Linked DNA regions of Kluyveromyces lactis. The protein of the gene in region 1 interacts with the protein of each later gene in a pairwise test. Links are inferred from orthologs where the notes say so. Each region holds a gene or a part of one and is shown in the gene's direction. Other genes may lie near its edges.

Region 1 (3,379 bases):
TTTCTGATCACTAAGACGTTGTCCCCATCATCACTTTTAAAATATGAATCAATCAGTTCACAGGGAACTTATGACGAAGGGTTCTTAGATTATGATTTTTTCATATCTTCTAAGCTGATTGAACTAAACTGTCCATTTCACTGTCAGTTTAATTTTCTGACGAAAATGGGAGCTAAAGTCACCAAGGTCACAGTTTCCCTAGTGCAGCTTGTTCTGATACCATGCCTCAAATCAGATGGCATTACACCCTTGAAGAAATCGTATATCCAAACTAATACCGTCCATTTGGGTCATTATTTTCCCACTCCAAATGATAACGAATCGAAGCTGGTAACTGCTAAATTCGAAGAACTTGTAATTAACACAAACTCTAAAACAAGTTCCTTAATGACTAAGATCTTGCCATACTACTGTGAGGAATCAAGGTTAAGGTTAAGCAGGAGGAACTCAACTGAGAAACGTTTTAAACTTAAGATTACCCATCATTTAAAGATAACTGCTGGTACATCTCTGGAAGATTGTACTAACGGCACTTTTCCTGACAAAACAAGACGTATTAACATTAATTTCAAGGTGCCCGTTATGATAATTGATAAAAATATGGGTTCCAGCTTGCATTTACCAGCTTACGAACCAGCTATGGATGGTAAAGCCATGCCCGTTTCCATTGGTAGTGAATTTGATCAAACAAATAATTCATCTCTGATATACATTCCTTCAACTTCATCTAGCTGCTCTCCGCCAAGTTATAACAGCTTAGGTTTCTGAATATCCTCACCTCACAAACACAAGTATCTAATAAATAATATTTAATAAATAGTCGAGAATGTCAGTAATCATTTATCACCAATTCGGAAACAATTTGTCTCGTGACAGATTCTTTCTTGAAGTGTCGAGTGATTTCATCACATTAATGAATAAAAGTGGAATTTCGATACTTAAGGATGTAATTGAATAGCCAGAATACTATTGACAATTCCGTTCCAGGAGTGGTATCAGTGGTCAAAGTATATTACAGTAGACAGCAAGTTAGCAAACCATAGTGTTCATTTCCTCAAAAGCCATATCTCATATACCCATTACGCGTCGTATTACTGAGTACTATTTGGAATTACCCTCACTTCGCCTTTCCAATCGAATTTCGGTTTTAGTTTTCCGTTTGAAAATGAAGAAATCAGAAAATCGAATGAAATTGTATAGGATGGATGAGATTAGCGAGTTCAGGAAAGAGAAAGCCGCCCTATTTGACGGACAACAAGGTACTTCATTCGGATTTTGACTGTGCACTGACTGTGCATTGATAAGTAATTACTGATAATCTGAAAAAAGGTGACAATTTAGCCGTGGTTACCGCTCATTTTGAAACCCTCCACTGGTCAATTTTCGTCTCTGGCTACTGCGGTTTATTTCTACTTTGGTTTATTTTAGAACGCTGTCAAAAATAAAAGGCATATCGAATCACGTGACCGAGAATGTCTGTATCAACGCCAACAGTTGCAACAGGTGGTACGCCGACAATTCATGAAGATATTGGTATTAATAGCAACCATCAGAACAACAATACCAATTCGGTGAAGGAAATCAGCAAAACCAGTAATAACAATGGTGGAGGAAACGTTGGGTTTCCTCAGGATAAGCGATTGGATATTGAATCTATGATTAATGAATTTAATGAAGTTTTAAGCAAAGAGCATTGGGCGAAATATGCCAGAGTGATTTCGTTATTCATACTCGGAAAATTGTCCAGAAAGGAATTGGTCAATGAATTAGACTTACTATTTAAACCTACCCAAGAACAGCCGAATATTAAACCAAGAGATTTAATACGATTGCATAACCAACTTTTACTATCGATATTCACTAATTCTCTTAGAGAAACCACCGACGATGATCCACAATCATCGAAATGGGGGTTCCAGAACGGTTCTCAACAACAGAATAAGAGAAGATCAAACAAGCCCAACTCGCAGATCGAATTATACAAAAAAATTGTTGTTTCCCTACCGTTATCGGATAGACAACGATTAAAAATGATAACAAAGGAAGCAGGAAAACGAGGATTTGTATTATGTTCAGTGCTACAGGCTAGATTGAGACAGATACCGAAATTACCTTGCGTCTTCAACCAGGAAACTGCCAAGAGAATTCAGCAACAAGATCTGAAGGGCCCACAGGAATGGTCCCAAAAGATCATGAATGGTTTCAAAACACAACTTTCTACCGAGTCATATGTTTTACCGGATAATGAGTCTCTTTATCTTCGAATGCTAGGAATTGCAAGAGAAAATGGAATTGTTGGACAGATAGATTCGCGATGTGTTGATATCGTATCACTTGCATTAGAGTATTATCTCAAGACAATTATTGAATCCACCATAGATACAGTAAGATACAGAGAAAAGAAATACTCGGACTTCTACGACCTAAACGATGACGGGTTCCAACAAGCATCTAGTGCGTTAGCAAATAGTAAGACTGAGAGTGATAAAGCGAAGGATATTACTGGTAACAGAACTGTATCCATTACAAATGAAGACGCTTTGGACTCGTTCACGATATTCCCCAACGTTGTTGATCCAACAGGTGCATACCTTGGATTAACTACAAATGGGTTGGTAAATGACGATGAGATCGTTCATTTCAAAAGTCCTGTCGATGATCTATTTCATTATAAACGGGAAAAGCCTAACTTCACTCCCCTTGACGAAAAGAATATGGGAAGCCGGGAAGAGCTTAACTGGCTAATTAAAGATATTCTTACAAAGAAATAATGACTAACAGTATTGCGAATATTCTCAATTGAAGGAGCCAAAAGTCACTCTTCTGATTGATTTAATCGAACAATTTCCACGCTTTCATTTTTTTGTAGAATTTATAGACAGGGAATATGACTACTATTTCGGATTTGGTAGTTTATGTAAAGTTTGTGATAATTGTAATAATGAGGAATCTGGTGTATCAAAATTGAATATTATTAAGGATTCAAGTCTTAATAATAACGATTGCAAGAAGGTCGAGACTGGGCTGACAGCCGTCTTTGTGATATCAATCGCATTCATTTTCTGAATTTCCTTAGTAGGTGCTTGGATGAAAAATATGCTTTCAAAATCATCTTCTTTATCGAAGACTTCAAATTTCATAACATGAATTCCTCTGAAATCGGGAAGTATAAAATTATTCACTTCTTCAATCGGTAGTCTTTTAGAATGGAAATCAATACATTTTTCGTCAATGACAGCGGATAAATCAGAATCCTCAGAATTTAATAAATCCTTCGAAAGGTCACTGTCGTTCAATACAACCATCTGAACAAGAACTTTGGATTTCAAAAATCGTTCATTTATCGTTCGTAGGAAATCTTTCCTCAAATCATCGTTTA
Region 2 (2,991 bases), on another chromosome or scaffold:
GAAAAATTTAATAGCAGGCTGTTGTTCCTCCGTGAGGCCTAAAAGGTTATTGAAATCCGTCATCAAATATCCAGTGACACCTGCACCTTGACTAAACCCACAGATACCATCAAATGGTCCATTTTCGACAACGTACTCTTTCAAGAATTTCAAAGTCACGTCGGGCAATCTGTACTCCCCATGCAACGGATCCGGTTGAAGCCACGCGTGATAGTCATCCCCAGAAGCAGCGCCGATATCTGCAACATCGCTAGGAAGATCTGCTGGTGATAAATTAATTGGTGCTGTAGGGTAGAAGAACTCATATCCAAGTGGTTCTAAGACCCGACGAAAACCTTTCGTTTTCGATTCAAAATAAGGACCAGACTGGGCAAGCCCATGCAACATCAATACTTTCTTAGACATTTTTTAAAAACCCTAGAACTGTTTATCTACCTCACAGCCTGAAGCGGTGTTAAATCCAAATCCACTAATAATAGAAACCGGACATAAATACCTACCCATATACTACTCCCCTTCAGAATACTGGAACAGAATTGGAAAACGTTGATGAACTTTTTTTTTTTTTAAATTTTCCTTGCGATGAGCTCCCTCTCCCTCTCTCTCTTTCTCTGCGAATCGGATTATCTCCTAGAAATCTTCGTACGCAGCTGGTTTTTCCAGGTACCTCTCGAGAGAAAGAGTACAAAATGACTACATAAGGATGACTACGGGATACATGCTAATTTTGATACTCATAAAAAATAAAACTAATAATATATAAGAGATCCTGTAGACACCTCCACTCATTTGCCTGTATGGTTACAAACACCCCGGCTGATAGTAGTCTGTATATGACCACACTGAGCTCCCACAAGTATATACTATCTACCGTTTACTTATGTATCATTTCTTCCTTTTATTTTTCGCTTTTTCATTTTTTTGCTTGATTCTGGATCAAGTTTTTTCTGTTTAACTTTTCATTATATGAAATTCGCACTCTAACAGATGATGATCTAGTAATCAGATTCAGTTACAATTTTTGGGGAAACGGAGCAAAGTCTTTGTGCCTTAGTCATCCTCTAGCTCGAGCAGGGAACTTCAGCTAGATATTTTTCTGAAATTTCTCAGTGCTCGTGCGTGTGCTTGGCCAAAATTTTTTTTATTAGTTATGGTTTGTCCGCATATGAATCAAGTGGTTTCTAACCAAAAGCTTGGTGACGCAGTGTTGAAAGAATGCGAAACGGTACGATATCTGCTTCGCCACGCAGACTTCAAGAATAGAACTATGAGAACCATGAGATGTATGGATTGTGGTGAAATTAGCTGTGGATCGACTTTCATTTGCTTGCAATGCGGATTTTGCGGGTGCTGGAATAACAACCATTTCTTGGATCATTCTCAAAAATTGGGACACATCTTTGGGGTTAATTCATCAAATGGTCTAGTGTTCTGTTTCAGATGTGGTGATTTCATGGCTGATCTGGTCGCTGAAATTCCGGCTAGCCAATGGGATACTGTAATGGAAAAGACCGAGCTACCAGCTAGCTTACACAGAGATGGATTACAAGGTTTGGTGAACATGGGATCCACCTGTTTCATGAGTAGTATCATTCAAACCATCATACATAATCCATACTTTGTCGAGGACCTGTTATCTCATAAGCATTGCAACAATTGTGACATTAAATCAGGAACCAAGTGCGTCTCTTGTGCATTGGATGAAATTGCTTGTGACTTTTACGGGAATGGACCTGGGACAGGGAAGTCTTCCTCCGTTAGCAAAGGCTTTGTAAACCTTTTATCTGCATCATGGCATATCAATCATCATCTTGTTGGCTCGTCACAACAGGATGCACATGAGTACTGGCAGTTCTTATTGAACCAACTGCATACGGATCATGCACGAGTATTCGGATCGTCAAAGGCCCCTGATTGTCAATGTATCACGCATCGAATCTTCCAAGGATATCTTAAAAACACTTTACAGTGTTCTCAGTGTGGATTCTCAAAGACCACAATAGATCCAATCATGGACCTTTCCTTAGAGATCAAAAATAACCCTAAATTAGAAGATTGCTTAGATCACTTCCAAAGAGAGGAAACATTAACCGATTTTCACTACGAATGCCAAAGCTGTAAACAGAACCAGGGTGTGGTGAAACAGTTAACGTTGCATAAGGCTCCTAACGTATTAGTTATACAGTTGAAAAGATTCGAACATCAACTCAACGGTCAAAGCGCAAAATTAAATGATAGAGTACAGTTTCCATTGCATTTAAATCTAAAACCCCATTTATTCCAGATTGAAGATGAATATATTCCTAATATTGCATATGATCTACTAAATGTAGTCTCCCATCAGGGGACGGTTGATCAAGGTCATTATACCACGGTGAGTAAAACTGAAGATGGACAATGGTTTAAATTCAATGATTCTGTTGTCACTTCAGTAACGGAAGAGCAAGTATTGGAACAACAAGCATATCTACTTTTCTACATTATTCGTTGAATATGTTAAAAGAAGAAAAACTCCTAAATTGGTTTACTAGGTGGCTTCCGTATATATATGTCAGAAAAGAAACCCAAATAACATCACACCAATCGACGTGTTATTATTGCCTTTATATCTTTTTTTTCAATATACAGACCCATATATATATAGTATTCTATCTAATCGAAGAAATCATCATCATCATCATCATCTGCACCGTTGCGGCCATTTCTACCAACACCAACATTAAATTTGCCTTTGATACCTGATCTTATACTGTTATGACCGTATCTCTGTTTCTTTTCTTGTTTAGTATAATCATCTTCGTGGTTCATTAGCAATCTACCATCTTTCTCGTCTACTGCACCAATATCAACCATAAGTCTTTCAAAATCTTCCAATTTAGTATCTTTTCCACCAAGTTCGAGTAGTGTAACCAAATGTTTTACGACATCACCTTTGTAATAAACAATCAAAGTCGGACAGTTGTTATCTGGATAATTCTCTATTGCTCTATT
Region 3 (4,245 bases), on another chromosome or scaffold:
GTTTAAAAGAAGGACCGGCTCTGTTTTGATCCCTCATCCATCGAACTATGGAAATGACAGCTTTTTGACCTCTGTTAATCCCACTTTTTCTCTTTTACTAACATTCTATTGGAAAAAATCGCATTTCCCTCTTTTTTCCCTCCAGAGACCCCCCAACTTCATGCTCTGCTGGTCCAGTAGGTGATGATGTATATCACTGGCAAGCCTCTATCATGGGTCCTCCAGATTCCCCATATGCAGGCGGTGTTTTCTTCCTATCAATCCATTTCCCAACAGATTACCCCTTCAAACCACCAAAGATCTCTTTCACCACTAAGATCTACCACCCAAATATCAACGCTAATGGTAACATCTGTCTAGATATCCTAAAAGATCAATGGTCTCCAGCTTTAACTATCTCTAAGGTCTTGTTGTCCATTTGTTCTCTTCTAACAGACGCTAACCCTGATGATCCTTTGGTCCCTGAAATCGCTCATTTGTATAAGACCGATAGAGCTAAGTACGAGGCTACTGCTAGAGAATGGACTAAGAAGTATGCTATTTGAAAGAAATATAACAAAAAAAAAAGAAGAATGAACCGAAGAAAAGAATACTACAAAAGGACAGGGTTCGGCGGAAAGTAATATCATCTTAATCCGACTAAAAAAATACTCAAACCTTCCACCATTGTATATCCTACCCCTTTTTGTTATCGGTACTTTCAACTCACATCGTTTTGGACTTCTTCTGACACAATTCTCAACTTCAAGCTTTCAAGGTTTAAAGTATTAGAAAGAATAGTATATATATTAACGCACCAATTTTCTTTATATTATATTGTGTATGTGCTCATGGTACATGTAGGTATATATACCGTATAATTTTGATATATTTCATTTCCATTAGACGACTGTTTCCGACAGGTAAGCTAGAACCATTGGTTATAATTATACAAGATTTTTCAAGACTTTTCAAGACTGGTTTTTGTCCACAGACATTGGTTTCTGAATGTGCCAATTTGGTCACAATTATAGAAATGGAGAGACATACGCCTGATCATTCTAGCTAGTGAAAATCAATTTATCAATGCTTACCTAGGTACTAAAAACCTACCACAACTAGTCCTATATATATAGATACAACTGGGTAGAGCTGTTGGATACTCAACTCTTGTATGTTAAGGCTAAGCGCCGCTGAAACGAATAAGCCGTATGACTGTCCCAATATCACTTTATACGTTTTGATGTTTTTTGACATTTCGTGAATTTTGGAAAACACAGACAATCGGTGCAACTGATGGACAAACAAGATTCGGACCATACACTCAAAAGTCGTGCCGTTTACAGCTTGTATCAGTAAAACGAGAGGCAAGCGAGCTGGTAGTGAAGGAATTGATTCAGAATTTTCCTTCAAAACTACTCTTTATTTACTCTAGTGGTTCTTTCTGCGGAAAAAGTTGACTGTCCATGATTACAAGTTACCAGCGGTCCGATGCCGCCGCAATACTTCGAACCATCCAGAAGTTATTCGCAGATGATGTATTTAAAAAGCACCTCAATCCGAGTCAGTTACTTTTATTGAAGTACTTGTTGAGTCTACCAGACCAAGAATCAAAGACACTTATATGGGATGCGTTTCTCTCCGGCAAGTTGGAACTATTTGTAGAACTGAATACAACTCTTAATGCAACTTCCGACAAAGGTGCCACTAATGATTTGGTAGCGGCTACCAGATTACCATCATTATCAACACAACAACAACCTCAAGCTAGTTCTGGACTCTCGAGAACTGGCACTCCTTTACATGATTCGACTGATAACCAAAGTGTTGACGATGACGACAGTGATATGATCGATTTGGAACAATTGAAGGCCCAGCTAGATGGACTGGATTTTATAGGAAATTTATCTATGAAAGTCAGGTACGTTGTATGGGAACATGGACTCACTCTCCTTGAGCCAGAAACATCCTCAGAATACCTTCTACTTGACACGGATAATGATAGCGCTGTAATAGAGGATGGAAGTAATAATACTCTTATAGATCAAAGTGCGGTTCCCAACTCTTCCACGCTTCCTACAAATGACACAGCACCCTTGACTATGAAAGAAGTGAGCAAGAATAGCGAAAACAAAGAAGGCTCTGATGAAGATGATAACTATGATGAAGATGATGATGACGACGACGAGGATAATTACGATGATGCTGAAGAAGATCCTCAAAAGATAGAAAAAAATGATACAGAAAATGGAAAAATCTCTCATCCTAATGATCTTGATGAGAAACCCAAAGTGTCAGATGAAACTGAATCGCCAATTTACGAGCAACTTGATAACGGACTCATAAGACTGCATTTCATCATCTCAAAGGAAACTTTGAACGAACTTCCATCTGTAAATACCTACGATATCATCGGTAACTTTCACAAAATATATCATCTCTTTGACAATGATAAAGAGACCACTATGAGGCGTTTAAAACTTCAGGAAAATGATCAAATGCTAGAAAGCTCAAGGAAAAGGTCTCACGAACAGATTGAAGACGAAGAAGAGGATGACTCAGGGAACCCTAGCATATCTCATCATAAGTCTGCGGCAGATAAGAAGATCAATACTAAGACTAAAGCAGATATCCAAATGGACCTCGGTGTCGTAAATCTGTCATTAAGGCATTTGCTCAAATCGGTACAGGAAAATAAAAGTAAGCTAGATATTTCAGATTACGAACTTAAACATTTATTAATGGATGTTAGAATGAACAGATCTAAATGGGCTTCTGAAGATAAAATTGGACAAGAAGAATTATACGATGCATGCGAGAAGGTGGTACTGGAACTCAGAAATTTCACAGAGCATTCTACTGCATTTCTTAACAAAGTCAGCAAGAGAGAAGCTCCAAACTATTACCAAATAATTAAAAAACCAATGGATTTGAACACTGTGCTGAAGAAGCTCAAAACTTTTCAGTATAAATCTAAACATGAGTTTGTTGATGATATTATGTTAATATGGAGAAACTGCCTCACGTATAACTCGGATCCTAAGCATTTCTTGAGAGCCCATGCAATTGCGATGCAGAAGAAATCTCAACAACTAGTACCACTAATACCAGATATAACAATCCGTGATAGAGCGCAAGTTGAAAAAGAACTAGAAGATATAGACGCCGAGAGCAACATTAAAGACGATGAAGAGGATGCTGGTTCAGGTCGTAAGGGTATTCAGAGACGTGGTGTTCAAAAGGTTATTGACGATGAAGAAGAAGAAATGGAAGAGAACCATCCTGGAGGTAAAAAAACACGAGCAACTGATGCTGAACGGAATCAACAACAATCCACCAATAAAACAGTAAGCAGTGACAAAACACCTTCCACTAACGAAGCTGAACAAACGCCAGAAGTTGGCATAGTTTCTGCAGAGGGGAGAGGCTCCAAAGTGGCTCAATCTTCGACTAATAACGAATCTACTGAACCAGCAGTTGAAAGTAAAGCAGTGTCAACTGTTGAAAAAAACCAAGAACATGAGGATGCAGAAGAAGAGGAAGAGGAAGAGGATGAAGATGAAGAAGATAATGCCGCTGGAATGATGCTTCTTGAACGAGATGACGATAAGGACGATCTGGAATTGTCCACATGGAAAACACTTACAGCCAAAGCCCGTGCTGAAATTTGTTTGAAAAGATCACAATTGTTCAACGAACACAAAATTAATTCCGAATCTGATGCCCTCTTGAAAAATCCTTCTAAATTAAAGAATTTTGATCAGTTCTTCGAGGAGTATAAGCAACAGAAAGAAGCAGAATTTGCAAGACAAAAATTACAAGAACAGTCAATGATGAAAAACGGTTTTGGGGCAATAATGAACCAAGCAGATAGCAGTGTATCGAATTTTTCTGACACGAACGTTAAATCACAAGATGCCGAAAGTTCCTTGACTAAAGAATCGAATGAAATCACTCTCGAAGATTCTTCGTTATTGACAGAGTACAACATCACTAATTATATCCCGGACTTGGCATATACAGGTATTGGGAAAGAACAATTAGATAAAGCTGAGGAAGCTATGGTTCAAAAAATTATGAAGGAAGGAAAAGTAATGAAGAGCTCTTTGTTGAATACTGTCGATAAGGGGTTGAGTCCAAAAATGAACACGAATATCCAGTTGATACATGAGATTAGGCATATATGTCATAAAATTTCTTTGATTAGAGCACTACAAAATCCAAATAAACCCAAAAATTCACAACAACCGCTAAGGTTCAAAGAAT

Evidence for each region.
Region 2: the proteins of HFI1 (region 1) and UBP8 interact in binary tests that used the Saccharomyces cerevisiae proteins (3 or more experiments, as listed by UniProt). The link is inferred for Kluyveromyces lactis from reciprocal best matches to the Saccharomyces cerevisiae genes HFI1 and UBP8.
Region 3: the proteins of HFI1 (region 1) and SPT7 interact in binary tests that used the Saccharomyces cerevisiae proteins (3 or more experiments, as listed by UniProt). The link is inferred for Kluyveromyces lactis from reciprocal best matches to the Saccharomyces cerevisiae genes HFI1 and SPT7.

Annotation. Positions count from the first base shown.
Region 1 is NC_006038.1:904,048-907,426, reverse strand, and holds HFI1 (Hfi1p), read left to right. Parts: upstream 1-1,472; coding exon 1,473-2,771; downstream 2,772-3,379. Other genes in the region: KLLA0_B10373g (uncharacterized protein), read left to right, coding at 1-768; CIK1 (Cik1p), read right to left, coding at 2,895-3,379. UniProt on the Saccharomyces cerevisiae protein: Component of the transcription coactivator SAGA complex. SAGA acts as a general cofactor required for essentially all RNA polymerase II transcription. At the promoters, SAGA is required for transcription pre-initiation complex (PIC) recruitment.
Region 2 is NC_006039.1:603,844-606,834, reverse strand, and holds UBP8 (ubiquitin-specific protease UBP8), read left to right. Parts: upstream 1-1,150; coding exon 1,151-2,491; downstream 2,492-2,991. Other genes in the region: KLLA0_C06996g (alpha/beta hydrolase), read right to left, coding at 1-405; PLP2 (Plp2p), read right to left, coding at 2,653-2,991. UniProt on the Saccharomyces cerevisiae protein: Histone deubiquitinating enzyme component of the transcription coactivator SAGA complex. SAGA acts as a general cofactor required for essentially all RNA polymerase II transcription.
Region 3 is NC_006041.1:1,117,197-1,121,441, forward strand, and holds the start of SPT7 (SAGA histone acetyltransferase complex subunit SPT7), read left to right. Parts: upstream 1-1,445; coding exon 1,446-4,245. Other genes in the region: KLLA0_E12563g (uncharacterized protein), read left to right, coding at 146-545. UniProt on the Saccharomyces cerevisiae protein: Component of the transcription coactivator SAGA complex. SAGA acts as a general cofactor required for essentially all RNA polymerase II transcription. At the promoters, SAGA is required for transcription pre-initiation complex (PIC) recruitment.